Lonchura striata: one gene and its partners. The protein of the gene in region 3 interacts with the protein of the main gene of each other region in a pairwise test. Links are inferred from orthologs where the notes say so. Each region holds a gene or a part of one and is shown on either strand. Other genes may lie near its edges.

Region 1 (7,307 bases), on a different chromosome or scaffold from region 3:
GCAGCACAGCACTATCTTGCCCACCTCTGTGCTGGTAAATCATCTCTCTCCACCATCTCCACTGACCTCTAACCATGCCAGGAGGTCCAGGGCAGCTGGCACAAAAACCACTTTGACTTGCAGGGAATCAGAAGGGCGTTTTAATGGCTTAATTGCAATCATGTTCTGAGGCATCAGAGCTGGGGGCACTCAACAGCTTATCTCAGGAGAGCAATTCTCCCTTCCTTGGTCTTTCATCCTCCTGCCAAGGCCTCTGCTGTTCCCCAGCACTATTTGCAGGAACTAGCCAGGCAAGGAAAACAGGAGCCCGGAGCGATTCATTCCCTGAGCTCAGCTCAGCTCGCTCCCCATCTCTGATGTTATCAGCCTCAAATGTCGTGTGTCGCTCTGGGCACCTTCAATATCCTCACCCAGCCAGGAAAAGCTGCAGCAGCCACTGAGTCCAACCAAGGCTCCTCATGCTGCACAGTCAAGTCTGCAGCAGAAAATTCTGGGGATACATCTCACCCCCCTGAGAGGATGGCAAACTTGCCTCTGAGGATGCTCAATGGACTCTCTTTTACCACAGGTGTTTTGGTTCCATGGGATGCTACAGGATTAGCAGCCTGCTGTCTCCTTGGAGCAGTCTCCTGCTGTTAGCTCTGACAGAGATGATGGTTATGAAAAGGTAAAAACAATTCCTGAGCTGAAGCTGTGCTGAGCCACTGCTGGAAGAGGCAGATCCCAGCCCCACATTCCTCTGCTCGTTCCTCCAGGCCATGTCCACAGCCCAGACAAACAGGGCCCAGTCTTCAAGCCCTGCTCCCTGGGAGAGAAGATACCTCAAATCCAGCTGACCTTCCCCAAGGGCCAGACACTCCCGAGTCCCAGCCGTGGCCAGAGCAGGCAGGAGAGGTTCCCCCGAAGGAGGAGGATGTTCCCATTTTCTGTGACTGCTCCGCCTTTGCTTCCACCGCTTCCAGGCGGCTGCAGCCCCGAGGGGAACGCAATGTTCAGCTGCACAGCTCTGTGCAGTGCCTGGAACACAGACCTGCCTCCCTGACCGTGCTGAAACTTCAGCACTGAGCCCAGAGCTCAGGGCCAGCTCCCCAGGTCACGGGGGTCCTGAACCCTGCTTCAGGGGCAAGACCAGCGCTCGCCCACCCTCAGTGCCGCCTGAGCACCCCACAGGGGTGTGGGAGCAGCACCGGGAGATCTCAGAGCTCCTGTGAGGCCTTCAGGCATGGAGGGGCACTGAGGAGACTCGGCAGCCTCTTCCTGAGCCCAAAGGTGCTCCCACTCACACCTCCAACAGAACCTGCCCCCAAAAAAACTCAACACTCTGAAATCTCTCAGCCACCCTTCTGAGTGACCCACAGCTGGATTCCAGGTTGCTGCTTCTGGCTCTTCCCATATGACAGGTCCCTCCTGCTTTGTCCCCACCACAAAGCTCTATCACGCCACAGTCCCATTCCAGGGGCCCACCCTGCCTGTCCCCTTCCCGGGGTCACCCTGTCCCCCTGCATCCCCCCTATGCCACAGCCCTGCTCTTGCCCCCAGGGCTTGACCCGAGCTGGCCCCAGCCCCCTGGAACCTGCCCTGCAGGTACTGGTCCTCCCCTCACCCCCATGCGGGCCAGGGCTGTACCCCAGTACAGACCCCTCTCTCCCCAGCACCCAAACCCTTCCCTCCCCACCCAAACTGGACCAGCAGCCCCCTGGGGCATACCTGCCACCCCCAGCCCCCTCGCCAGTCCCCCTCTCTGCCACTGCATGGGGACAAGCCCCACTTCCCAGTTAAACTGATCCATCAAACTGAGTCAGTTCCAGCCTTCCAGCACAGCCCCACACCTGTGGGGCCGCTCCTCCCACAGCCGGGGCACGGTCGTGTCCCCCCACGACCAAAGGCTGCTCCCCACAACCGAGGGGTGCTCCCTATGGCCAAGGGGTGCTCCCCATGACCAAAGGCTGCTCCCCACAACCAGAGGCTGCTCCCTATGGCCGGGGGCTGCTGCTCCCCACAGCCGAGGGGTGCTCCCCACGACCAAAGGCTGCTCCCCAAAGCTGAGGGTACTCCCCACAGCCGGGGGCTGCTGCTCCCCACAACCGAGGGGTGCTCCCTATAGCCGAGGGCTGCTCCCCATGACCAAAGGCTGCTCCCCACAACCAGAGGCTGCTCCCTATGGCCGGGGGCTGCTGCTCCCCACAACCAAAGGCTGCTGCTCCCCACGACCAAAGGCTGCTCCCCAAAGCTGAGGGTGCTCCCCACAGCCGGGGGCTGCTCCCCATGGCCGAGGGGTGCTCCCCACAGCTGGGGGCTACTGCTCCCCACAACCAAAGGCTGCTCCCCAAAGCTGAGGGTGCTCCCCACAACCGGGGTCTGCTCCCCACAGCCGGGGGCTGCTCCCCACGGCCGAGGGCTGCTCCCCACAACCAAAGGCTGCTGCTCCCCACGGCCGGGGGCTGCTCCCCACGGCCGGGGGCTCCTGCTCCCCACGGCCGGGGTCTGCTCCCCACGGCCGGGGTCTGCTCCCCACAGCCGGGGGCTGCTCCCCACGGCCGGGGTCTGCTCCCCACGGCCGGGGGCTGCTCCCCACAACCAAAGGCTGCTCCCCACGGCCGGGGGCTGCTCCCCGCCCGGAGCGGAGGCTGCATGCCCCGCCAGGGGCCAGTCCCGCCGCAGACCGGGCGCTCGCCCCGCTCCCCCTGCAGCTCGGGCTGCTCGCCCCCGCCGGGAGGAGGCTGCTCCCCGCGCCCAGCACAGCCCGTGCCCCTGCGGCACAGCGCTCCGCCGGCAGCCGGGGCTGCACCCCGAGCCAGCCCCCGGTCCCGGCCCCGCTACCTTCTTGGGGGCCTTGGTGACGGTGGCCATGAAGGAATATTTCTCGGCGTCCTCCACCTCCTTGGCCTGCTTCTCCTCGCCGCCGGCGGGCTCCGGCACCGACATCCTGGTGCGGCGGGGAACGCGGGGCGGGCCGCGGCCGCCGGCGGGACCAAACGGGGCACGGGCCGGCGGAGGGGCCGGGAGCACTGCGGGCTCGGCTCGCCTCTGGCCCGGCTGGGTTTGGTTTTGTTCGGTTCGGTTCGGCTCGGCTCAGCCCGGCTATGGCTCTAGCTCGGCTCAGCCCGGCCCGGCTCGCCTCTGGCTCTGGCTTGGCTCGGCCCGGCTCTGGCTCAGGCTCTGGCTCTAGCTCTGGCTCGGTTCGGCTCGGCTCGGCTCGCCCGGCCGGTCCCGCTCGGTCGCTCGCTGCCGCCGGCGCGCTGCCTGCGGCGGGTCTGCGGCCGGCGCGCCAGGGGCGGGGCCTCCTGACGTCACCGCGCCGTGACGTCATCCGCCGGGCTGCCGAGGCCGCGCGGCGCCGCCGGGGGAGCGGGCGAGGGGCGGGGCGCCCCCTGGCGGACACGGAGGGGAGGGCGCTGAGGGGCGGGAACGAGGGCGGGGCCAACGGGGGCGTGGTCACTCAGGGGGCGTGGTCACTCAGGGGGCGTGGTCACGGTGAGGGGCGTGGTTATTGTGATGGGCGTGGTCACTCAGGGGGGCGTGGTCAGGAACCTCAGCGCGGGCCAAATCCCAATTAACCACAATAATTATATAACATAAATAAAATTGCATATAAATTTCTATAATATATCATATAATATGTACTATTATGTAGTGCATATAATTATATAATTAATATGTAATTAATATATAATTCATATATAATTAATTCATCATTAATTCATTATCTAATTAATAAATAATTATATATGCATATAATTAGTTTTTTAGTTAAAATAGTTTTTAATTAGTTTTTAAATTAAAACTAATTAAATTCCTTACTTAGACTAAATGAAAAAATTATTAAGATTAATTTTATGCATTAAATAGCAACCACATAAATTAAATATTAATTATATATAAATGTGCAAAATATGTTAATTTATTTATATCTATAAGTTATGTATATTTACATTTCTAAGTTATTATAAAGCTATAAAATTTCTATACATTAATTTTATGCATATATATATGGTGTGCATGAATTTATATTAAATTACTGAATTATATAAGCGTATTACATAAATTATATTAATTTATATACAATTTTTCTAAATAAGTATAGACACTAAAAGAGCTGTGGGTGCCCATCCCCAGGTCCCGAGCTGTGGGTGCCCATCCCCAGGTCCCGAGCTCTGGGTGCCCATCCCCAGGTCCCGAGCTGTGGGTGCCCATCCCCAGGTCCCGAGCTCTGGGTGCCCATCCCCAGGTCCCGGAGCTGTGGGTGTCCATCCCCAGGTCCTGGAGGTGTGGGTGCCCATCCCCAGGTCCCGAGCTGTGGGTGCCCATCCCCGGGTCCCGAGCTCTGGGTGTCCATCCCCAGGTGTGTGTCCGGTCCCGGAGCTCTGGGTGCCCATCCCCAGGTCCCGGAGGTGTGGGTGCCCATCCCCGGGTCCCGGAGGTGTGGGTGCCCATCCCCAGGTGTGTGTCCGGTCCCGGAGCTCTGGGTGTCCATCCCCAGGTCCCGAGCTGTGGGTGCCCATCCCAGCGGTGTTAACCCCCGCGGTGCCAGCCCCCCGGGCTCGGGGCAGCGCCTCCCGGCCCTCGTTACCCATTAACGAGCCGAGCGGAGCCACCGGGGCTCGGAATCACCCGCCCACATCCCCAGCCCAGCGTGGGGGTGCTGAGCACTTTTTGGGAGTGCTGAGCCTGGCCGGGGCTTCCTCCCGCACTCCTGCTGCTCACCGCCCCGCAGCGGGCTCTGCCGGCTCCTGCGCTCCCGGGAGGGTCACAGCCAGCCTGTCCCCGGGGCCAGGGACACTGAGGGGCCGCATCCGCATCCCGGAGCGCTCCCGGCTCCGCAGAGTCCCACACGGGCTCTAGGGGCCATTCCAGGACAGACAGACAGGCGGGGGGCTCTGAGCCCGGACCACCCCATCCCCAAACGCCCCCCAGCAGCAGGGAGGGCTCTGAGCCCTGTTCGCCTTCACTTCCCCGGGGCTGCTCCCTTAAAATACAACCTGGGGAAAAAAAAATCAGCGTGTGGGTTAAAATCCCCAGGGGAAAGAGCAGATAACGGTTTTTAACCAAAACCGCTTTGTCTGGCCACAAAATGGGCCTCTGGCCACCTAAATCCTGCAGCAGTTCCTCGGCCAAAACCCTGTCCCGGAGCCGCCGTGCCCCGGGAACCGCGGCCCCGGGGCCTTTCCGCTGCTTCTGCCCCGTCAGCAGCTCTGCGGTGCCCGCGGCGGCTCTGGGGAGGCTTCCAGGGTGGGCAGAGCTCTCTGGGGGCTCTTGGGAGGGGTCTCAGGACATCTGGGGGGGTCTCCGAGTGCCTGGGAGGTTTCGGGAGAACGGGATGAGCCTGAGAGATGTCCCAGCCCTGCCAATGCCACAAGCAGCAGGGCTGTGGGGACCCCCAGGACCCCCGGGGGGGGGGTGCTGGTGACCATAGTCACTCCATGCCAGCCCATGCTTCAGGTCCCCTGAGCCTCTTGTCAATGCTTTCCCCTCCCACCATCCATCTTTTCCCCCAAACTCCCTGTTCTCATCCCATCAAAGCACCTTTTTGCAGTACAAACCCATCTGGGACCCCCGGAGGGACCCCCGAGTGCCCCACTCAATCCTGGGATGGGGGGTTCTTTTCTCCCCTCCCCTTCAGGTGCTGAGGGACAGGGATGTAGCTCCATGGGATTCCTGAGTGGGGGGCTGAGAGCAGGTTTTGCCCCCCAGATTGCAGGGGCTGGGGGTGGAAGGTGCCCGGGGCAGGGAATCACATCCCTGCTCCCACACAGGGTGGGGAAAAGGCACCAGCTGGGAACATGAGGAGCACAGGGACCCTCCTGGCCCGAACCTGAGGGCAGGGAGACAGTTTGGCTTTTTTCCTGCATTTTCCAGATGCTTTTACAGCACACAGAGCAGCCAGAAAAAGTCAGGGATGAGCAACTGCGAGGTGTAAGCACAGAGGGGTGGGCACTGGTGGTCCCCACACCGCCCAGCAAACTGGGATGCTCCCAGCTCTGCCCCCCAGCTCTGCCCCCCAGCTCTGCCTTAGCTTCAAGCTGCCTTCATCCAGCTCCAGCCACCCTCTCCTGTGCAGCTGTGGAGCTGCCTGGTGTATCCTGGTGCACCCTGGAGCACCCTGGAGCATCCTGGAGCAGGCCAGGGACTCGCTGCCCTCAGCACCCCCAAACCCGGGCACGGTGCCCACCCCTAAGAGCAGCCTCCGGCCTCAAATACCCCCCAAATCTGACCATAATGACCGTGGCACGGATCCAGCAGGATATATATAGGTCCCACTTCCCTGGGAAGGGGATGTGGACCTGGGAAACCCCCGGCTGCTGTTGGGGAGAGGAAGGGCTGGGCTGAGTCAGCTCCCCTCGAGGAATCCTGGTTGTCAGCAAACAAGGCAGCAGCTCAGCCCTGGCACTCACAGAAAGCTCCTAGACCCCTCCTGCCCTTGCCCCCCCCTCGGATGAGCAGGGGGGGTGTTCACCCTGCACACCCCATGGGCTGGTAGGGACCCAGGGTGATGGGGAGCCCCCTGGCATCCCCCTGGAGACGCTGGATCAGGGTATGGGGCTGCCCTGCTCCTGGAAAGAAGGAAAGAAAGCAGGGGGAGCGATGTGGGGGGAGGAAATGCCTCTTCCAGTGCTGTCACTCTAAGCAAAGTGCTCCAGGAAACTTTGCCTCAAGTGTCTTTGTTTTAAACAGCTGCTTCCCAACCATTCACACAGATTTTGGGGGGCCACAGCACCAGAGCCGGTGCCTGGAGCTCTCAGCGGTGCCGGCAGAGCTGGGGCAGGAAGGGCAGATGAATCCCTCTGCCCTCATTGCAGTGGCCACGAACTCCCACACGCATCCCCAGGGAAGCAGGTCAGGGTAAAACCACCAGGACTCAGCCCCAGTCACCCCCTCAGGGACCCCAGGGATGTGACAGGGCAGCCACAATCTCCAGTCCCCCCTTGCATCCCAGACTTACACCAAGCTACACATCTCTGTTTATTAATAATATTAAATATACAAGTTGTTTTCCATTATTTTCTTTAAATAGACTTTTAAATGCCTTTGTATAAAATATTTCAGGATTTCATTGTATAAAAAAAAAAAAAAAAAGACATCCCAAAACCAACAAAAAGCCCCAACCAAACAACAACAACAACAAAAAAAAAAAAGGCAAAATAAATCCAACACGGGTAAAGGCAAGTTTTCTCCCCCAGGAGCAGCTCCTCCACAGTGTAAACTGGTGACTTACACCACCAGGAGTTTGGCCCCAGACTTCCTGCTGCATCAGGGCTTTTATCCTGATTTACACCAGTCCCTCGCCCAGGAACCCCCTCCTTCTGCCA
Region 2 (7,152 bases), on a different chromosome or scaffold from region 3:
CATCATTTACAATGAGCTGTCCGTGACGCAAATAGTTCAAAATGGGCTCAAAATACTCGGGACTGCGGTCAATGAGGAAAGCTCCTCTAGGATCTTGCTTATTCCCCCAAGCATCTGTTTCCACAACATATATATATATAAAATTACTTTTGATGTAGTGATAGAAGAGCATTTGCTTCAGTTTTCAGAGTTTTTCATTACCAAAGGGGACTGGAATAGCAAACATTCCACTTGGAAGGGCAGTTTGGAGACAGAAGGAAGGAAAAGAGGAGTGAGGGGAAAAATCAGCTTAAAATGACCTTGTTCCTGCTCTGAATAACTGGATTTTTACAAAAGAATCCTGTCTAGGATAAAAGCAGCACTGAAATTTAGTCTGATTATCTCCCCAAGGCTGCCTCGTGCAGTTTGCTCATTTGCTCTGCTGACAAAACTGAGGAAGATGCAACAAGACAAAAACCTCAAATCAAGTAAACAAACAAAGGACCCAAACTACTCACAATGGATGGGAGCTGTGTTTGCAGCTTGTGAGACAAATGATCAACATTAGGTGGTGAGATGATAAAGAGAGGAATAAAGTTAATAAAAAATAATTCCCTGTTCTGCTCTGGTACTTTAACACACTTTGCATATTTTCCTTTATGAACAACAGTCTTAGCCTGACAGTAACTTTTATCTACTTTGCTCATTTATTACTTAAAAATAATAAAGTTCATCTCAGCATACTCACCTTTGTCTTTGAACATGTGTGCCAACATACTGTCAGGTTCTTTGTTAACCAAAGTGCTCCTAGAAAACAAAAGCAGCCCAACTTTACTTCTCTTTCATCTGTAAACGTTTAAGAATTAATTTCTTGCAAAACTGTGGTGGCAAACATAAAATACAGAGAAAGATGCAGGAATCAAAGACCTCCTGCTTCACAGTAAGTTACTTTTTAAGGTATTTTGCTTTATTGGAGTTTTTGAAGACCATTTTTACCGGGTGGTGGTGAAATATCTGCCGCCCACATTGAGAGTCAGCCAGTCTGTGTGGGACCCTGTCAGCTCCTCCTGAGCCCTCCCATCAGTCTGAGGATCTGCAGAGAAGAAACAAACTAATTACTGGAAAAATCCTTAATATTCTTTAATTACAAAGAGGTATCTTCTGAAAATACCAGAAAATAAAATCTTAAGTTCATATGAATGCAAAATAAACTCTATTAAATAGGTTTAATAAATAATAGAAGGTTTAAAAAGTAAGAATTACAGACTCACCAATGAAGGGCTCCCCTTCACAGACAAACAAAACATCATCATCCCTGAGACAGGAGGGGGCAGAGGGAAGAGAAAAAGAAGGTTAATCATACTTAAATCGTAATTTATTGTTCATCTAATAGATAGTGGAACCTCTCGTGATTATTTCAGGTAAATTATGACCAGTGGCTATTAGCTGAAATTTCTTTATCTATTTTTTATCCGTATTTTGAAGGTTCTACTGGATTGGAATGGACTGACCTCATCAGAGATTTTATCTGCAGCAGCCAGGTAGGGACCACTTGTGTAATCAATTAATTCTTACAAAATAGCTGCTTTTCTCTCCAGTCTGGGACTATTCTGTGAAGCCAAAGTACTGACAGAATTTGTCTCTTTTACAGAAATCCCCCCATTGCAGGGCTCACTGGAATAGTGGGGATTTCACAGCACAACCATTGCCCTAGAATCAACACAGGAGGAGGTGAAAATGCCTCAAACACAGCTTGTATCAAGTTCTGACTCAATAAATGGTTTGAAGTTAGAAAGACACAAAGGACCTTTGGGCATCCTGGCTGGAAATGATCACATCTGGTTTTAGGGAAAGCACTGGGTATGGATTAAGGAGGATTAACTGGTTAGTCTCTTAATCCACAGCTCTGGTTTGCCTTTTCCTGGCTGAGCCTCACCTAATCAAAGCAATATCATCAATGAGTCCCCCTTTCCCGTTGTAAACGCTGGTGGCTTTTATCCCAAGCTTGTTGCTGGCCACAGAGAGCAAATCTGAGAGAGTCCCATACACGGCCACCACCTGGGGGAGGAGAGAAGAGGCTGTGAATAAAAACAAACCCAGCAAACCGCTCCAAAGTTCTGCTACTTCAGATTTCATTGGGGCTATTAGGAGGAGCAAAATCCATTTGGATCTTGACCAAGAAACAAGGGAAAAGCCCAGCTTTGGTGCTGGAACACAAACACAGGGTGGCTTGCACAGCTCCCACCAAAACTCACTGCAACAGCATGGAGGGAATAAATGTTGGTGCTGGAGGAATGTAATTCAGCTATTTCTTTCTCTAAAGAAACATTGCTGCTTGTGCTGTTCCAAGCCTCTCCCAAGTGTTCTTCCTTGCCTAAACACAGGGATTAAAGGACAGGCACGCGAACTGTCTGCACTCAGGATGTGGATGGAAAATCAGCATCACAGACGTGATTTAGCAGAAGTGCAAGGCTGAAATGCGGCCACATGAACTCCTGCACCCGGGATCGTGGGCAGAATTAATAGAATTACACGTTGAAGCACAGTCACATCGCCGTCTGCACTCAGCATGTGGATGGAAACACCAAAATGAACACCACGATCACGGACTCTGTGCGGAACTGCATCCCAGGGCCTTTTCCTCTGCTGGACAAGCACTGCCTGGGCCCAAACCCCACAGTTTTCAGCCCTGAGATGATTTTAGCGAGCTTTTAAACAATTCAGTGCGATTATCCCCAGGGTTCCCGTCTCCCCTCAGAGCCCTCATCCCACAGCCGTGCCCCGCACGAGCAGCCGGACGCGGCTCCCTCAAGCCACCAAAGATCCCCCCCTGTCGCGACTGCCCCCAGCGAGGGAGCTCCCCGCTGCCCCCAGCAGGGCGCGGCTGCCCCGGGAGGCTGCGGGAGGGCCGGGCAGGGCCGCGGGGAGCGGGGCCGGCCCCGCTCCGGCCTCACCTTCCCGTTGCGGGCGCTGCCGTTGACGAACAGCGTCACCCGCCTCATGCTGCGCCCGCCGCCGCGCGACACCCGGAAGGGGCGGGCGCTGACGGGCAGGCCCCGCGGCCAATCAGCGCCGCGCGTCCGCCCAACGGGCAGCGAGGAGGCGGGATAAAGTTCGGCGCGGCAGCCAATCGCCACTAGAAGAAGCGCTGATATTTGCATAGTTCCTCTGTGATTGGTTGTTGCCCGTCACGTGCGCGCGGGCCGTTGAATGAATTCATTTAATCGGTTTATTTCTTCCTCCCCCTACACCGCGGTGCTGCGGTAAACGGCCCGCGATCCCTCCGCCGGCTCAAAGAGTCCTCCCTGTCCCCGCCAGCCCCGCGGACCCCCGGGGCAGAGCAGCGGTGAGGGGTCGCCTCCGTGATCCGTCCTCCTTACGGTGCTACCGGAGCCGGGCTGGCTGCGGCGGGCGCTGGGGTGGGCGGAGGGGCGGGGGCGCGAAGGGATCCGCAGGGGCGTGGCGCGGTTTGAAAGCGTGAGGCGGGACGGGCGTGGGGCTGAGGTGAGGGCGGCTCGGGGGGGAACGGGACCCCGAGAGTGGCCGGGAGCAAGCGGGGGGCCCGAGGATGCACGGAGATACCCGGGGTGCGCTCCGGGATTCCCGGGGGTACCGGCGGTGCGCTCCCGGGGGATGCCGGCGGTGCGCTCCGGGGGTACTCTGGGTGCGCTCCCGGGGGATATTCGGGATGTTCTCCCGGGGGAACTCTGGGTGCGCTCCCGGGGATGCTCCGGGTGCGCTCCCGGGGGATCCTCGGGATGCGCTCCCGGGGGATATTCGGGATGCACTCTCGGGGGATATTCGGGATGCGCTCCCGGGGGATATTCGGGATGTGCTCCCGGGGGATATTAGGGATGCGCTCCCGGGGGATACTCCGGGTGCGCTCCCGGGGGATCCTCGGGATGTTCTCCCGAGGGATTCTCGGGATGTTCTCCCGGGGGATCCTCGGGATGTTCTCCCGGGGGATATTCGGGATGCGCTCCCGGGGGATCCTCGGGATGTTCTCCCGGGGGATCCTCGGGATGTTCTCCCGGGGGATATTCGGGATGCGCTCCCGGGGGATACTCCGGGTGCGCTCCCGGGGGATGCTCCGGGTGCGCTCCCGGGGGATGCTCGGGATGTTCTCCCGGGGGATCCTCGGGATGTTCTCCCGGGGGATCCTCGGGATGCGCTCCCGGGGGATATTCGGGATGTTCTCCCGGGGGATCCTCGGGATGCGCTCCCGGGGGATGCTCGGGATGTTCTCCCGGGGGATCCTCGGGATGCGCTCCCGGGGGATTCTCGGGATGTGCTCCCGGGGGATTCTCGGGATGTGCTCCCGGGGGATCCTCGGGATGCGCTCCCGGGGGATTCTCGGGATGTGCTCCCGGGGGATATTCGGGATGTGCTCCCGGGGGATACTCGGGATGCGCTCCCGGGGATTCTCGGGATGTGCTCCCGGGGATGCTCGGGATGTTCTCCCGGGGGATGCTCGGGATGTGCTCCCGGGGATTCTCGGGATGTGCTCCCGGGGATGCTCTGGGTGCGCTCCCGGGGGATGCTCGGGATGCGCTCCCGGGGGATGCTCGGGATGCGCTCCCGGGGGACATTCGGGATGTGCTCCCGGGGGATTCTCGGGATGTGCTCCCGGGGATGCTCGGGATGCGCTCCCGGGGGATATTCGGGATGCGCTCCCGGGGGATGCTCGGGATGTTCTCCCGGGGGATGCTCCGGGTGCGCTCCCGGGGGATCCTCGGGATGTTCTCCCGGGGTTGCAGGCTGTGAGTGCCCGAGCCCACGGAGCGCTACAGACCGGGGCAGCCCCCGGCTCGATGTTTTCCCCTCCTCGGCTGGTGGCTGTGACTGTGGCCATTGGCTCTGCCGGGGCCTAAGAGCAGAAAAAGAAAGAATAAGAAAGAAAAGGTTTGCCCAGGCGTTGTAAAGCAGATTAATTTCCGTAATTTTATTGCTAAAAGTGCATGTGTTTGCGGAAGTGAAGTTTCAGAGTCACGTTATTGAGTTGTGCATCATTCACTTCAAGTAACGAATTGCAAAAAAATCTAGCTTAGCTAGATTAGAAGCTAATGGTAGTTAAAAAGTATTACTAGTGTTGTTTCTTCTGCTGATTTCTTTCTAAGACTTGCATTCTCTTTCTGCTGCTACTAATTAGTGCTATTAAAAGTAGTATGAAACTGCTGATATTTATTGTAACACTTGGAGCAAAACAGTTGCAGTGTAATTGTGATAATTGTATATTGTACGCATATTTTATATTCATGTGGAGTTTAACAGAGTGAAATCATAGCCTTGTGGCTCCTTACCCTTTGCCACTCCTGTGCACGTTTATAATGCAGGTTTTTATTGCTCTGTGTTTTTCTTTCTGCTCCCTGCCCCTTGTGTCTTTTCCCTGTAGGTTTTAGGGGATAAATTTCCTTTCCCACCCCACTATTAAACACCTTGTCCAGGAAAAATGTGGATTTGGGAGAAGCTTGAGCATGGTAGTGAGTTCTTGCTCTTAGTAAATAAGTTTTTTATTTTCTTTTTAATAGGAATCTGTAATTACAGCAGCAAAGGCTGAGTGGATGTTCTTTCAAATAAATCCCAAACAATGTTCAGAGGATCTAAAACTCCCCTGAAAGTTAAAGAAAACGAGAGTGGCTGTCCTGAACAGAAGGAAGAGGCCTCTTTACCTCCATCAAGAGCCCAGAAGAGCTGCAAAGCGACCAAGCCCAGAGTCATCAGGCCATCCAAGAAGGAGAATTTCACTGATGGGAAGGGGACACGGTCACCAAAACGTGCCTGGAAATGCCCCAGAGGCCCCGAGGAGAGCTCGTGCCAGCCCCAGGGGGCTGATGTGGGCTGGCAGCTCCCGGGGGGCTGCTCGGGGGCACTGGGGCGGGATGTGCTCAGTGAGCCCCCCTTGCCTTTGCTCACCAGGGAGGATTTGTCCAGCAGCCCGGCTGCTCCCTTGGGAAACGCCTTCTCCACTCCTGAGAGGGACCAAGTGGAGGGAAAGCCTGATTTTGGGCTGTCTGAACAGAGGAAAAAACCCGTTGATTTTGCTGCTGTGCTAAATGCCGAGGTTGGGATCGCTCAGGAAGGTTTTGGAACACGACCCACGGGTGAGGCTGGGGTGACAGATGGCTTTTGTCCTTCTCAGAGGAGATTCTCCAGCTCCTTTAGTCCAGCCTCGTTCCAGAGGCTCTCATTTAGGGCAGGTTCAGGTGAGCAGGGTTTGGATGTGCCCAGGAGCACTCTCAAGAGGTTGTTGTTGCAGCATCTCTACAGGACATGCCACAGACAGGGTAATTATGCCATTTAACTGTTCTGGGCATATCCTACACAGTTAAATGCTCCCTGTGTATCTCTCTCCAGTTAATGAAGCGTCTTGTTTCACAAGGGAGTTGCAAGACAAATTCTGCAAGTGTTGGTGCACACTAACAAACAATTGAAAAGCTAAAAGGCAGACTTGATTCGTGATTATTTGATATGCTCAGGGAGGTTTCTTGGGCAGAGCAGGTAATTTTATACCTTAGAATAAGTAGCATTAATCAACCTCTAAAAAAGATTAAATTACCATTTTAAAGCTTTAGGTATTACAAAACATTTTTGTGGTTTTGTACTTTGTTTTTCTTTTTCACCTCTCCTCTTGTCCCCTTTTCAGGGCCTTCCCCAACTTCACTGAAATTTAGGAGAAGATCAACCATTGGATTGAGGGGATCACCAGAAAACAACACTCTGATCCGGTACCTGGCCCAGCAGAGGAGCAGCAGACAGAAAGAAGCTTTCACCCAGGTGAGAGTCCTTCCCAAATTCCTGATGGGGAGCTTGCATTCCCCCCAGGAACCACCCAGTGCTGGGAGAAGGGGAGCTGAGTCTTGGGAAGAATCCAGCAAAAGGAATAACCATGGCAGTAATTTGCTGTTGTCCCTTGCTCACCTGATTTCAGGACAAGGGAATGTTCCAGGTTTTGTTTGCACTGCATAGAGGCTGGAATTTCTTCTCCATGTTGAGTTTGTTGATAAATTGTATTTTTTGTTACTTTCCCGTGCTGGCTGCACTTGGGTTTGGGTAATTAAACTGTTGCTCTTTCCAAGTGAAGTCAATTTCAAGCATGAGTTACTTGGCTAATCAGATTTGTTCATAACTTGAACTATCCTGGGCTGTCAGAAAGCAAATTCTAGACTAGAGGAA
Region 3 (6,890 bases):
AGCAGCAGTGACTACATCCTTGGAGACACAGCAGATTTCTTGGCAGCACAACCCTTCCACATCAACACCTTGCACACAGTATAACCCAGGATTTGGTGCTCCAACTTCACCTTCTGCACAGTCTGATCTTTGGGATTAAAAAACACTTTGCAATCCTAAACTTTGCAATCATAAGCAAATCAAGGGGGGAAAGAAGGGGGAAGCATCTTCTGGAGGAGCACATACTGTGCAAATAACATGAAACAAGGTTTTTACTCAAAATTTTATATATTTTATTCAGTCCATACATACTTCTAATGGCAAATATTTTGGATGTAACTTTCTCTATATATTATTTTAAATTATTTAATTCTTGTAAATCATGAGGACCTTCAGTTGTTTTCTCTCTCAAAAGGAAAGCAGGAGTCAGCCCTGTGATGCCAGTGGTAACACCAATGTTGGACTAGCTATGAAAGCTAAAGCAGACTCCTGTGCAGCATCATCACAGGTAGGAATGAGGCAGTTTCCAACTGGTATTTTGGAATGAAACAGCATAAGAATCTGAATTGCTCTCTTTCAGTGGCTTTCAGTCATTGTTGGAGAGTATCTTACTCATCTTATTTTGCTTTCTTCTTTTCTTAAAAGAGGTGCTTGAGTTCAATCAGTTTTTATAATCAGACCCAAACACTTGTTACTTCTGGTTTCCATTAAATGGCCTCTCTCTTTTTCTGTGCCAATTACTACAGGCAGAGCTGACTGCAGGCAAACACCAACACCCCAGGACATAATTACCTACCTCCCAGCACCTCACAGTCGCTGTCAATGCTGTCGTGCACGCCTGCAAAGATGTTGGCTAGCGAGGACTTCCCCACGCCGTGCTCCCCGATCAGCACCACGCGGTAGCAGCTGCTGCCAGACTCGGAGGAGATGACAGAGTCGGATGACTCCGAGGACCAGCTCCTTCTGTAATATTCATCAGGACTGATGGTGTATCGTTTCTGTGGGTTGTACTCATTGGAGTCCTTCTGGACCAGCAGATTCTTTCCATCAGCAGGGATGCTCCATCGCTGCTGCTGCTGGTGCGGGCTGCTGTTGTGTGTGCGACGCATGGTAACATTGTTGAGAGTCATTTTTAACCCCTAGTGAAAAATAGGGAAATCACAAATGTTACCCACGAAACATTTAGAAATGCTCTCTTACTAGCTTCAAGGGGCCACATCATGCTCCTCTGTAAGGACCTAATATGTGAGAAAAGAAAAATTAGCCTTTCTGCACTCTAGCGTACTTGGTGGTGCACAAAGCAGTATTTTATTTATTAGCTAGTGAGACAGAGACTGTTTCCCAGGGATAATACCACCCTCACATGCTAAATCCTATCTTGTTCAGCCTTTACTAGCTCACGGCTGTGCTGGGTGCAGCCCAGTCCTGGAAAGAGGGAGGCATTGCTGCGTCCCAGGAGGAGAAGGAGGGGACAGTGCTCGCCACACCGGTCCTACACAGCAGCTGCAGCCCTGCCGAGAGACTGCCTGTGGTACAGGCAATGTTCACCTCCTTTTGGCATCACTGGGGACAGACAGAGACACTGGTCCCAGTTGCCTCCAGCTGCCGGAGCAGCTGGGTGTACAGCATCTTTCTCATTGACTCAGTTAAGAGCTGAAACTCTTGGGAAAGCAATAAGTCATAATTCACTGCACTCTTGAGACAACCCTGGTACAAAAAGTCATGCAAGCAAGTCTTGCTGTGATGGGGTGGATTTGGGTCTTGTCTGTGGCCAGGTAAACAAAGAATGATTCGGCCTCAGACAGTGACTTTTTGGCTGGTAAGAGGGAGGACATAGTGAAATCCAACAGCTTTTCTGAGGAGGTACAAGTTATAGCTTCTACAAGAGATAGAACTGAGATAAAAGGCTCATTAATTTATAGATATTAAATCAATTACTTAATTTCTGCACAATTAATTAGATAGGTTCATTTTTCTAAAATAAGCATAGCTCTTAATTACATTTTACTCAGCAAACTCTATTTTGCCTTGCTTGGAGGCAGGGAAGAGTGATGTCATTCTCACAGGCCAATACCTACCATTTTTAGGAAAGTTACTTTGATGCACTCCAGTTTCCAAAGTGACCATTATTCAGACATTTTTCTTTTTTGCCCTATATCTGATGTTTCTTGACTCTCTCCTCCATATCAGTAAATAGGATAATTGTCCATAAAATTCACCCAACTACTTTCAAAGCTCAATAATAAATGGTGAACAGTAAAAAGTACAGTAAAGCAACATGTACAAATTGCTATTCTTCTTCATAAAAAACTGTCTGAAAACTTCTGTGACTAAATTCCCAGCAGGACCAAGGACAAAATATATAGAAAAAGCACTATCTGAATTTACTACAGAATACACAATATTTTCTGTGTGATGTGCAGTACTTTGGGGCAAAAGGAGATCGTTTTCATGGTCCTAGTCACAATAACTTTGTCAGCAAGAGATACATCTGAAGAAGAAATCACGTACTAAGCAAAGACTTCTTCGCAAACAAACTTAAATATTTGCTGTGGTTGAATTCTGAAATGCACTTTTCCCTTCAGTATCCCCATTGAAAAGATCAGATGAGAAAATCCAGATCGCATTCAAACAACAGAGTAACTCACAACCTGCAACAAGCTGTCACTCACAAAAACATCACAAACACAAATATTTTACAATTTAGCCTCTCACAAATTGTCATCCCTCATTAAAAAAAGCCAAAGGAGTCCCTGTCACACACTGTGCTCCAAGTTCAAACTGGTTTTGCTACCCCATACTGCATTTAGCTGCCTGGGTCTGCAGCAGCTCCAGGAAAAGACTGGGTCCAAATCCACTCTTACTTGTGCCAGGCTCCCGCAGCCAGTCCAGTCCTTTGTTCCCCCTGCCCTTCTCCCTCGGTGGGCTGTGACACACTGAGCAGCTCTGCTGAAGTAAATCCTCTCCTGCTTTGGGTCTGCCTCTTTAATTCTTTCTCAGCAAACCTGGTTTATATTAAGCCCATCTGATCAGAGACAGGGCTTTTCCGTGACGTGGCCAGCCTTCCCATACAACAGCCAGCCCCCAGCTGGGGGAAAGCAGACGTGCAGCAGAGAAAAACTTGCAAACAATCTCAAAAGACTTACTCAAAATCATGTGATTGTTTCAATATTGCCAGTAAAATAAACACTTTTGGTTCTTGCGTGATGAAAACAGGAAAGTGGAACAAAAATAAATAATGGATGTTATTTAGCCTCAGAGAGTTTTAAATTCAAATGTTATCAAAATTAATGATGATTTAAAAATCACCTAAGTTTATTTAATGCATTAAATTCTGTAAATGTATTATGTATCTGTTCTCTGTCGGCAAAACACACTTAACCCCCTGCTGGACAAAACATTTCTCTGGAATAAAATATCTGAATGTTATTTTGAAATATTTTAGAAGTAGGAATATTAATTCTAGGGGCTTAGTTGGGGTTTTGTTTGTTTCTTTGTTTCTAAAGCACCAGTATTTACAAATATGTTATTCTCTGTCAGGCTCCAAGTGACTGTACCCAGTCTTCTGATCTGTATAAGCATCTCTTTCTCACTTCTGCTTCAATATTTTACTACCAAGGGCTTGAAAAGACATCCAACTATGAATTCAGTGTTGCTGCAACTGGATGTTGGCAAAAATGCATCAGAACACACAAAGTCTGCACAAAGTCACACAGTGTTGACACTGTGCACAGGAACAATCACTATATAGTGTACATGCCACAAACTCAGGGTCTGGTCCTTAAATTTTTATAGCCTCATAGCTGATTGGCAGAAGAAATTTTGCCAGAAGGCAAGAAATCCAAACCTGTTGAAACTTGCAACAACATACTTCTTCATTAGCAAAGGAAGAGTAAGAAACCGTGACAGAACTACTTACTAGGGCTACCACAACTTTTATGTAAGTATAAACAAACCCTGTAGTCAGCTGCCAGTTATCCAGACTCTGGATTAAATATAATGAGGTCCTACTGCTTTCTTTTATATTTACATGTTTACATTTTATATTTACATTTATATTTACAATCTCCTGGTCCCTGAATCAAACAGAAAAGTTCTTATCCTAGAAGTCTGAACAACTTTGGCTTCAAACAGGGGAATAATTCTTTTTTCCATGCTACAGGTAAGCAAATCTTTAACTGACAATGTACCTTTATTGAAGGGAACACTGATGTGCAGAAAACATCTCTTGTTAACACTGCAATTGAAATCTCTTTGCCTTATTTTCCCATTGGCTTTTTTGCATTCCTGTATCTTTCATGAGGGTTCTCAGGGACCTCCTGAGCCATTCTCAAGTTTTAAAGGCCAAGAGCTTTTCACGAAGCAATAGGTACTCATCAGTATACATGAAAATTATGCAGATCTACCAAGGGTAGGATTGGGCAAAAATATGCCCTGACTTTCTTTCACATGTATTTCAGTGCTTGGCAGCAGCTCAACTGGCCCCAGGTCCTGCATCTTCACCCCACCTGTCTCTTACTCATCAGGGCCTCTGCTGCTCAGCGATAATCCCAAAGAGCACAAAGTGCCACATCCCTCTGTGTAGGTTGTACAGAGGGGCTTGTAATACTTCCTGCACAAAATGTAACTAGATCTCTATCCAGGAAGGTTTGTGACATGGACAGTACTTTGCAAAAATCCTTTTCTGTTGGCATACCCAACTGAAGTTGCTCGTTTTTTTGAAACATGCTGGAAACCATGAAGGTGAGTGGGTGGTTGGAGCAGTATGAACCTCAGGTTTGCATAGCTCTCTGTAAGTTGTCTGTAATTTTTCACTGCTGAGTAAAAAAGCAAAACCTGTCCACTGCAGGACTGGAGAGATTTATGGCCAGTGATTGCAGCAAAACTGCAGGCTCTAATGTCTCACCCAAATGTTTAACATATATCACAGCAGAAAGTGCAGACAGAAGAAATAAACCAAAGGCAGAAAAGCCTTTGTGTTTAGTTGTAGTTACTGTTAGATTAGGAATTGCTAGACATCATCTTTCATATCCTCTTCATAAAATTCAAGACAGACAAAGAAAACATGTCTCTCCAGAACTACACAATATATCTCTTCCCTAAAGCCATACAGAAGAGTTGTCCCAACATGGCATGAAGTGCTTGTACTTGGGGAACTTGCACATATGTGTTTTTCTTTGTACTGTCTCTTCTGAGCCTACTCTGGTTTTCCAGTGCACAATTAACTCTCCAGGTCCCATTCTGCATACACCTCCACAGGATGTGACGTTGTTGCTCCTCAGGGAATGCCATCAGCACTCATGAGCTTCACTCACTCTATCTGTGGGTGAAACATATTCTTAACTGTTTTTAAAGCTGGGGAGAGATGCAGCCTTTTTAGCCTCTGGGTACTTACAAGGGATAACAGCAGGCTGATTACTGAAATATATTAACTGAGTCCTTCATAGGGACAAAAACAATCCCATGGACTGAGACTGGTGCAGTCTTGGTCTGTTCAGCCCTTTTGCACTCGTTGCAGGTCAACATTTCTGCAAGTCTCATGCCTGCCCAAGGCACGGGCATGAGAAGAGACAAACCATAAGGCCAGTGCTGTCGCAAAGCACACGAGTGCTTGAACGTAACTGCCCGCTGCCATATCAGAAGTCAGAGGCATTGTTTTTCTTCCATCTTATCCACTCTCTGTTTCATTAATCACATCTTAAAGGAATTCTCCCTGCAGCCAGGATGAAGTAAACATTGCAGAGTAGCAGTTCTGCAATCCTTCCCCAGACAATTACAATTAGACCAGGTGATGCCCAGAGCAATTAGGCAGAAATTTTCCATTGGATATAACAGCAGTGCTTTTTAGCTGACACTTAATTAGCCAGTTTGAATTTATGTATATGATGGTAAAAGTAGTTCCTCAAATCTTCTGGTGTAAGTGTTGTCCACAGAGAAAACATAAATCATCTTGGAGTAGGAGGGGAATTCCAGGGAGGAAAAAGAAAAGCATGAAAAACAAAATTCAGATTTATTTTAATGAAAAGTGAATGCAGCATGTTTGAAAGTGTGTTTTCTCCCTATACATCCAGCAGAGAAGCTCACCTGTATCATTCTCCTCAGAAAGCCTGGCTTTGTTGACTTTGTTTCCAACAGTGAGTTGCCTGCACAGGCAATGAATGAGGTCTGCCTCTCCTCCAAACCATTGTGGCATTTCAGACCTTTCTGTGCTTCTCACATCTTGCAGTGCTGGCAGACCCTGGCTATTCTCAGCCCTACCAACAACAGCAGCTATGGACAGAAATTAATTTGGGTGCTGGGCTGGATAGTGCTGGACATGCTGGGAGTGCCCACAGTCACTGCATGCCCTCCCTAGGGAAGCTGCTCCATTGTCACCATCCATTCCTACTGCACAGGCAGCCACAGGCAGCTGGGCGAGCAAATGTAGAACAAAAGGCAAAAATAGATGTGGGATGAAGCAGCATTGAGCCCACAGCAATGGAACTGTTGGATTACTTACACCAACTTATGTCCACAGCTTTGCCTTTGCTGATCCCAATTCACATCTGATGACTCAGTGTCAAGTTTCACACTGGCTGAAAAGGTGCAAGGGTTCAAACACTCTGAGACTGGGATGTATGAGGTAGGGAAATGAAGGATTATGTGCCTGAGGTAAATTACTGAGGGTGTTAAGAGGGGGACAGGGCAGAGAAAGACACTGAGTAATTAAGAAATAATAAAACATTGATTCATTTTAAGGGGCACAGTCAGAAGCACCTGAAAGTGCCAGCATCAAATTTTAAAAATAGACATTGCTCTTTTCAGTGGTGTAGATTTGGTCGACGTGGTTCCTAGAGTTGCTTACAGGGAGTACTAAATTTGTTCCACCAGCTCCTTTCCTTCCACATCACAGCAGCATTTTTACAAATCTT
Region 4 (7,460 bases), on a different chromosome or scaffold from region 3:
GCCAGGAGGTGCCACACAGCATCCAGCTATCCAGACTGCAGTCCTTATCACAGCTCCTGCACAGGGACCATGGTTTACAGCCTGCCTAGCCAGGGTGTCAGCACCCTAGCAGGCCCCGTGTCAGCACCCTAGCAGGACCATGGTGGCACCTCTTTTGTGTGATCAGTGAGCTGAAACAGCTTCACTGCTCACCCAGGAGTGCCACAGTGATGGACACAGCTGAAAGTCAAGCCAATGGACAGCATTGTCCTGTGCTGCCCACCCTTGCAGACCTGCAGAGCAGGGCCCCACTGCAGCCCACAAAGCTAGGGCAGGATGCTTCCTTCCAGCCTCTGCAGCAGAGCCAGCTCATGGGAAGCAGTAGCCAAGGACAGCGGCATGCTCTGGGCAGGAGCTCTGGGTCTGGGGGTGCCTCTGCAGTGCAGAGCAGCACAGGCTGACACTTTCCCATCAGAGCACACCGCCCTGCCATGCAGCCCAGCCTCACCAGAGAGCCCCCAAATCTGGCTGCATCCCCTGGGAATGTCCTTGCTGCTCCTGCCCTGCCCAGGACAGCAGCACTGCCCAAGCCTCACCGAGAACTGCTTCACGAGGCCCCTGCCCCAGGCTCTGGGAGGCTCCTCCATCCAACCAGACCCTTTGTTAAGAACTGGCTCGCAGCCAAGAGAAACATTTTTTAGAGAATAAACTCGCTGAATCTGTCTCTGCGTGCTCAGCAGAGATCAGCAGGCCCCAGGGCAGCGGCACAGGCGACTCCAGCCTCACACAGTGCCCTCAGGGCCCATGCTCCATGCTGGGATGCTGTGGAGATCTGTGCCCTCTGGGGGACGTGTGCAGTGCCCAGCTCGAGCCAGGGGCAGGTCCCCACGCAGCACTCGATGCCACAGGCAAAGCTGTCCTTTGAGAAGCCGCCTCCGTGCCAGCTGCCCAAGCGCCAGCGGCACAGGCGATGCACTCACATTCCAAGGCTTATAAGGCAATTGCGTGGCCAAAGCTGTGGCCAGCACCCGCCCAGGGCCGGGGACCTGCACACAGTCAGGGTCAGACCCGGGAACATTGCCACAGGAGAGGCTCAAACCAGCGGTCACAGGCACAACCAGCTGTGGCCAATGGCTCTCACTGGAGAAATGGGAGAATTTTGCGGAGGGAGTCACATCCATGCAGGTAGCAGTGCAGCTTCCTCCTCTCCCTGCCCATTTCAGGAATGACCACAGGCACAGAGCTGGGAGCTGTGCTGGGGAAATGAGGGTGCTGAAGGGCACTGGCTAAGTCCTGGGATGCCAAGCCCAGTGCTGGGGTGCAGACCAGGAAGCCAGTCCCACATCTCAGAGTGCAGATCCCCTCCTGCTGTAGTGGGAACACTCCGGAAGGGGCCTCCCCTGCCCCCCTCTGCAGAGGCTGTGCAGAATTTCATGTTTCTGCTGCAGCTCTCTGCCCGGAACACCCCCGTGCTGAGCTGCAGCTGATAAGGGACCAAGGAGGCTACGTGGAGCCAGGCAGGGCAGGATGCAGCATTCCCGGGGCCCCAGCTCATCTACATCCCCCGTAGGGTTCTGCCTCAGCCACTGCGGCCTCCCGCCCACAGAGGCAGGAGGAAGGATGGGTGTCACCAGCCTCGGTTTCTCTTACCCTGGAGATGGAGAGTGGCATGCTGAAATCCTTCCCTCCCTGCAGCCTGAAGCCCCAGGGTGCCGGCCCATTCAGCATCACCTTGTAGGACTCCATGTCGCCCATCTCTGCAAGGGAAGAGGATGTGATTCCAGCGTTAGGGTATGTGGAAACAATGCAGGAAGAGCAGGCGAGGAGAAGGCTCAGTGCCTGGCAGGGTAGGACAGGAGGCAGGTCACGTTTCCAGCTGTAACTCCACCCTGATCATCCTACACTGTGGTTAGAGACGCACCCCAAATCCATCAGCATCTCCTCCAGCAACATCAGAGCTGAGGGGCCCAGGCTAACACTGACTAGTGCCAGGAAGCCAGGCACAGCCCTGCTGCCACCCACAGCGGAGTGTCTGTGGGCTCTGCTCTCTTCCCAAACCTGGGATGTGCTCTCCTTTGCAGCACCCCAGGAACTCCTGCTGCTGAGAGCCAAGGCTGTTCAGACCGCAGAGAATCAACAGCAGGTACAGAACGGTAGGAACCAGAAGCATTTTTGCCGGATGAATTAGCAGCAGCCGCAGCACAGGAGCTGCGTGATGCCACCCGAGGCGCCTGGCAGAGAAGAGGGGCTGGCGCTCCGGCAGCCGGCCGAGCAGATGCTCCCTGGGAGCGAGCCCATCTCCGGGGCTTCGGCAGGAGGGAATCCCGGCACTCCCCTGCCTGACAGCTGTCAGCCGGCCAAGGCTCCGGACAGATGGGCCAGCACCAGCCTCCCGTCACCTTTTACCTGGAAGAAGCCGCCAGACCCCTCCGAACGGCCCCAGGACCTTCCTGCCGAGGGCGGCCAGGGCCGGCGGCGGGGCTCCCCACGCCTCGCACGGGCCGGGGGCCAGCGTGCCCCCGCTCTCCCCGGGCCGGTGCGGTCTATATAAGGCGTGTAAGACGACACCAGCCCGCTCCCCGCTCGGGAGGGCCGGGGGAAGAGCTGCGTGTCAGGCATTCCCGGCGCCCGGGAGCCGCGCAAGCCCCAGCGAGGCGCCGGGACGGGGCGGGCGGAGACCCCACACCCTCCCCGACTGCACGGGGGTCCCCGGCGTGCACAGGCTGGGCAGCCCTGCTTATTGCTGGGCGGTCCCACCCTTACCCCGGGGCGCCTCGGGACCCCTCCCCATCCCACACCGCCGCCCCCCTACAGGGGCTGGGGACGCCGGCTCTGCCCCACACGGGCCCGACCCTGACCACCCGCTTTCCCGTTAAGCCAAGCCCCAGCCCTCCACCCCTCACACTCCCATCCCCCCGGCAGAGGACGGAGCCGCACGGCCCGGCTCCCCGGACTCACCCGCGGCCAGCGGGGCCCGGCGAAGCGGGCGGGAGCGGAGCGGAGCGGGCGGACGCGGGACTCGAACCCGGGCACCGCCCCCGCCCGGCCCGGCCCCACTAATATAGGACCGGGGGGAGGCGGAGCCAGCGGGCGCTTCGGCCAATCCCCGAGCGCGCCTCTGCCTGGCGGGGCGGGCGCGGCGGCGCCCCCTAGCGGGGAGGCTGGAGCTGCCCCCGCCCGCCCCCCCCGCCCCCGGCAGCAGCGGCGGAGCCGAGTCCGGGCAGGGCCTTTATTGACCGAACGGCACCGGCCACATCAAGCCCAGTCCCGCGCTCCGGGGCTCTCCCGGCTCAGCAGCCGCACCAGCTTGGCCCGAAGGGTGCTGTGAGGCTTGTGGCTGGAGCGCCCCGACAGCGCCGCCTGCCCTGCGCGCCCCCAGCCCGCGGCCCGCGGGTTCTGTGCCAGGGCGGCCCGGTTGTCATAGACGGGCCCCCCATCACTGCTGTGGCCCTCGGGGGCCTGCCGGCGCCCCAGCTCCCACTGCCCTTCCTCCTCCTCTTCCTGGGCCCCGGTTGGATGTGCTTCTGCGGTGAAGATGTTCTCGTAGAGATGCTCAGGGAGCGGCTTCCCCACGGCCCAGGGCTCCCCAGAGCCTGGCTGCCCTGACACAAAGAGGGGCTGCTGGCCCCGGGCGATGGAGGCATAGACGATGGGGCATGAGCCCTCCGGCTCTGGTGGGGTGAAGCGGAGAAGGTTGGCAGGGGGGTGGGAGGCGGGCTGTGTCCCCCCCAGGGCTGGGCTGGGCTGGGGATCATCGGTCCCAGACCCCCAGGGCTGGGGCTCAAGGCCCTGTGCAAAGAGCTGGGGCTCTGAGACACAGAAGAGTCTGGGGTCCAGGGTGTCCTTGCCCTGCTGCTGGCAGGCAATGGCAGCAGCCACAGCCCGGCAGAGCTCAGGGGCCCGTGGGGTGCTGAAGGTGAAGGTGCCCTCGCCGGAGTCACTGCGGCGGCCAGCCTCGAAGGAGAAGACAGCCTGCAGGGTCAGAGGCGAGAGTGAGGGGCTGCCACCCACCCTGGGCAGGCAACAGCCCCAAAAGGGAGTGGGGAACGCACCTGATCCTGGCCAAACTTGCGAAGGAAGGGGTAGGGCCAGGTGAGCAGAGGCTGGCGAGACTGGGGGTCCTTCAGCGTCAGGCTCTGGGGAAGGGCTGAGAGCAGGTAGTGCCCGTGCAGCCCACAGCGGGTGGCTGCGTCTGTCTGGACCACCAGCACCAAGAATTCAGTCACTGTGAGAGCCGAGCAAGCCACAGGTCAGCACCGCAGGACTGAGCTGCAGCCCACCCCAGCCCTCTCCACCACCCCTGCACGTACGGTCCTGCCAGGACGAGTAGAGGGAGTTCTCCTCCATGGGGACAGCGGGGCCAGGCTGAGTGCTGGCACTACTCGGCACTGTCTCTTTTGCACCCTGAAACAAAGAGATGTGAGTATGACCTGGGACAGGGGGTGGGGAGGACAAATCCCCTGCCTGCCCTGGAGCTTCGCAGTTCACCCAAGTAGGGCTCTGGGCTCTGCCAGACCCCTTGGTACCTGGAAAGCCAGCTGGCAGAGCTGGGTGATCCATTCATCGCGCTGCTCGGCTGCCAGCACATAGCTCTTCTCCGTGGTGGTGAGGTAGAAGGCAGCGGTGGCTTTGGGGCAGCTCTCTGTGCCCGCCGGGCCCACAGAGACGCAGTCAGAGAGGCGGATCACCCGGCGGGCACACCGCTGCAGGGATGTCTTCTCTGGCATCGTGCCATCATCCCGCACATCAAACTTCTCCATGCGGGCCACGCCGGACGGGCTGGCAGCGAACAGCTGGGCTCTCATCTTCCTCCAGGACCTCTAATGCATGGAAAGGGCAAAGCAGGGAAAAAATGGATCAGTGAAGAGCTGGCTGCTGCATCTGGCAGCACTGCCCTCCATACAGGGCATGAGGGGCATTGGGGAGTCCTGGCCTGCACCCACCAGATGCTGTTGGAGGGCACAGAGAACAGGGGCCAGCACAGACCCCTGAACTGTGGGGCAGGGCAGGCACAAAGCTGGGCAGAGGGGCGCCTTGCCCCGAGCAGGCTTGGCATGGCTCACTGGGTGAGTCACACTCACTCCTGGCTCCCTGAGCACCAGGTCCTGCTCTTTGTTCCCTGCTGCAAGTGCTGGCCTGCCGACCTATAGCTGAGCTCTCGAGCTGTTCTCAGGACAGACCCTGATGCAAATTAAAGCCATTTTGAGCTGCTAAGGCTCCTGTTGGCAGCTTCACATCTGCTCAGCAGCCTGCTTCCTCCCAGGGGAGCATCTGTAGCACCAGCACCTTCCCAGTCTGTCATGGGATAGCGGGGGCGCGTGCCACCATGTACCTCAAAAGTGCAGCAGAGCCTCCGCCCTGCAGGAACCACATGCAGCCAAGCACCCAAAATACCCACCACCCCCAGCCCACCTGCCTCCTACATGGCAGGGCACCAGCTCTTCACACACACGGCTGCCTGCTGCACTTTCAGGGCTTGGTTCTTCTTCAGCAGGGAGGTCAGAGTGCGATTGCAGCCCCACACATCCACTGAGACCCCCACAGGACATGGCCACCCTGCCATGGCGTGACCAGTGTGCCGGCAGAACCTACTTTGCCAACACCCAACTGCTCTCTGGAGCTGGCCCGACCCCAGGTACTCTCACCATGTCACCCATACCCTGCCCCAAGAGCTGCAGCACTCAGTGCCCCTTCCAAAAGCACAGAGAAGCAGCCCAAGCCATGAGGGTGTTGCTGTATGGCACTGGCCCCACAGGGCCAGGCCGATGGAGGTCACAGGGACACGTCCCACGTGCTGGCCCAGGGTCCTGCTCACACACACACACACAGATGCTGAAGCTGCGCCATATTAACACGTTTATTCTTCCATTGAGACTCTCGTGGTGACCAAGCAAGAAGAACCCAACACACACGTGAGCCAGAGTGGGTGCCCACACAGATGAGTCCCCTCAGCCCCACGGGAAAACCCCACTTATGGGGCTGCTGAGCCCAGGGCTCCCCCACTGCTGCAGTTGCCCCTTCTCAGGCTGCTAAGGGCCCAGCCCCAGGCCCAGCATCATGTCAAATCAGAGCAAACCCTCTACCAACCCCAAATCCACCCTTTACCTTTCCAAATTTGGTGTGCTGCACATAAAGGATCCCATCCTTCACTGGTCTCTCCATGGGCCGAGTTCACCTGGGCAGCCAGCGCAAGGATAAGGGACTCAGGCTACCCGCAGCAGAGAAAATGTGACTGCTGCAGTCGAAGGAAAGGCATGGGGCAGACTTCCGTCTCTGAGAGACTTCCCCTTTTTGGGGTGTGGGATGGGGGGCAGAGGCTGGGCTGCAGGAGGTGTCCGTGTGCCTGTCCCTCCCCCTCACAGCAGGGCAGTGGGGCAGAACGCGGGGGCAGAGCACAGGAAGCACCTCGGGGAGTGCCTGACATGAGCACAGCATGCTCCACCTCACCCTGGCTGCATCCTCCCAGCATGTCTGGGGAGACAGGAACAGCCACCTGAGAATGCACAAATCCAGGTGAGGGAGATGGGCCCAGAGAAACTGGGTGGATTTGTGAGGAGCAACACAAGACCATGACCTCACCACTTCAGGGGGCTGGCAGAGGCAGCAGACCAGTGGCCCCACCTGGGGCTTTCCCTTGCCCTGAGGCACTGCTACCTGCTTGCCCAACACACCGCTGATGTAATGGGCTGTTGCAGCACAGCTCCATACATTTCCTGCAGGGCCTGAGCTGGCAAAGTCCCAGTGACCAAAATTCTAGAAATGGGGCCACAGCAGTACAAGACAGGCCCCTAGGCTGAAAGGAAGCCCAGGCCCACCCAGGGGCAGCACATTGTCCAGGCTAGAAGTCCATAGAGCTGTGGGCCAGGTAGTCCTTGCGGCCGATGTTGCTGACTTGCTTGGTCTGCATGGCCTCCAGCTTGGGGCAGTCGGTGATGCGATGGCCCAGGCCACCACAGAAGGCACAGCCCCGCTCACCTGCAATGGGAGGGATGGGGTCAGGGCCAGGACAATGCCACGCCAGGGCAGCACAGTGCCACACCAGGACAGCAGCCCCCACCCCAGAGCAAAGGGGCTACACCAGTGTCTTCCCAATGCTGTGGCACTGGGAGCTGGAGGGTCCCGTCTGGAGCCCAGGTTTTGCAGCAGCCCCACAGGGGTCCCTGTGTCAGCCTGGGGTCTCTCACCATTGATGTCCAGCATGGTCTCGTCCCCACAGTGCAGCACCTGGAGCACCGGTGGCACCTTTTGCTTCGCCTCCAGGAGCAGAGCCTTCAGGTCCATCAGCACTGACTCATCTGGGGGCACAGACACAGGTCAGGCAAAGCCATTCTGCTTGCTCAGAACACCCCCCTGGCACTGCCCAGCTGCCTCCTCCAGCCCCTAGCCCCGTGCTGTTCCTCACCACAGGCCTTGTTGATGAAGGTGGTGGCAATGCCAGTGTTGCCTGAACGGCCTGTACGCCCGATGCGGTGAACTGCAGA

Evidence for each region.
Region 1: the proteins of GEM (region 3) and AHCYL1 interact in binary tests that used the Homo sapiens proteins (3 or more experiments, as listed by UniProt). The two-hybrid records come from large-scale screens. The link is inferred for Lonchura striata from reciprocal best matches to the Homo sapiens genes GEM and AHCYL1.
Region 2: the proteins of GEM (region 3) and KCTD9 interact in binary tests that used the Homo sapiens proteins (3 or more experiments, as listed by UniProt). The two-hybrid records come from large-scale screens. The link is inferred for Lonchura striata from reciprocal best matches to the Homo sapiens genes GEM and KCTD9.
Region 4: the proteins of GEM (region 3) and PDLIM7 interact in binary tests that used the Homo sapiens proteins (3 or more experiments, as listed by UniProt). The two-hybrid records come from large-scale screens. The link is inferred for Lonchura striata from reciprocal best matches to the Homo sapiens genes GEM and PDLIM7.

Annotation. Positions count from the first base shown.
Region 1 is NC_134632.1:1,193,105-1,200,411, reverse strand, and holds the start of AHCYL1 (S-adenosylhomocysteine hydrolase-like protein 1), read right to left. Parts: upstream 3,005-7,307; 5' UTR 2,926-3,004; coding exon 2,821-2,925; intron 1-2,820. UniProt on the Homo sapiens protein: Multifaceted cellular regulator which coordinates several essential cellular functions including regulation of epithelial HCO3(-) and fluid secretion, mRNA processing and DNA replication.
Region 2 is NC_134634.1:2,694,996-2,702,147, reverse strand, and holds the start of KCTD9 (BTB/POZ domain-containing protein KCTD9), read right to left. Parts: upstream 3,017-7,152; 5' UTR 2,982-3,016; coding exon 2,934-2,981; intron 2,038-2,933; coding exon 1,916-2,037; intron 1,295-1,915; coding exon 1,251-1,294; intron 1,073-1,250; coding exon 976-1,072; intron 787-975; coding exon 728-786; intron 115-727; coding exon 1-114. Other genes in the region: CDCA2 (cell division cycle-associated protein 2), read left to right, coding at 5,567-6,080, 6,623-6,753. UniProt on the Homo sapiens protein: Substrate-specific adapter of a BCR (BTB-CUL3-RBX1) E3 ubiquitin-protein ligase complex, which mediates the ubiquitination of target proteins, leading to their degradation by the proteasome.
Region 3 is NC_134603.1:24,314,229-24,321,118, reverse strand, and holds the start of GEM (GTP-binding protein GEM), read right to left. Parts: upstream 3,005-6,890; 5' UTR 2,844-3,004; intron 1,119-2,843; 5' UTR 1,110-1,118; coding exon 776-1,109; intron 1-775. UniProt on the Homo sapiens protein: Could be a regulatory protein, possibly participating in receptor-mediated signal transduction at the plasma membrane. Has guanine nucleotide-binding activity but undetectable intrinsic GTPase activity.
Region 4 is NC_134617.1:3,217,880-3,225,339, forward strand, and holds the start of PDLIM7 (PDZ and LIM domain protein 7), read right to left. Parts: upstream 3,003-7,460; 5' UTR 2,938-3,002; intron 1,737-2,937; 5' UTR 1,735-1,736; coding exon 1,630-1,734; intron 1-1,629. Other genes in the region: DOK3 (docking protein 3), read right to left, coding at 3,235-3,951, 4,032-4,204, 4,290-4,383, 4,506-4,799, 6,085-6,141; putative ATP-dependent RNA helicase DDX41, read right to left, coding at 6,818-6,954, 7,164-7,274, 7,382-7,453. UniProt on the Homo sapiens protein: May function as a scaffold on which the coordinated assembly of proteins can occur. May play a role as an adapter that, via its PDZ domain, localizes LIM-binding proteins to actin filaments of both skeletal muscle and nonmuscle tissues.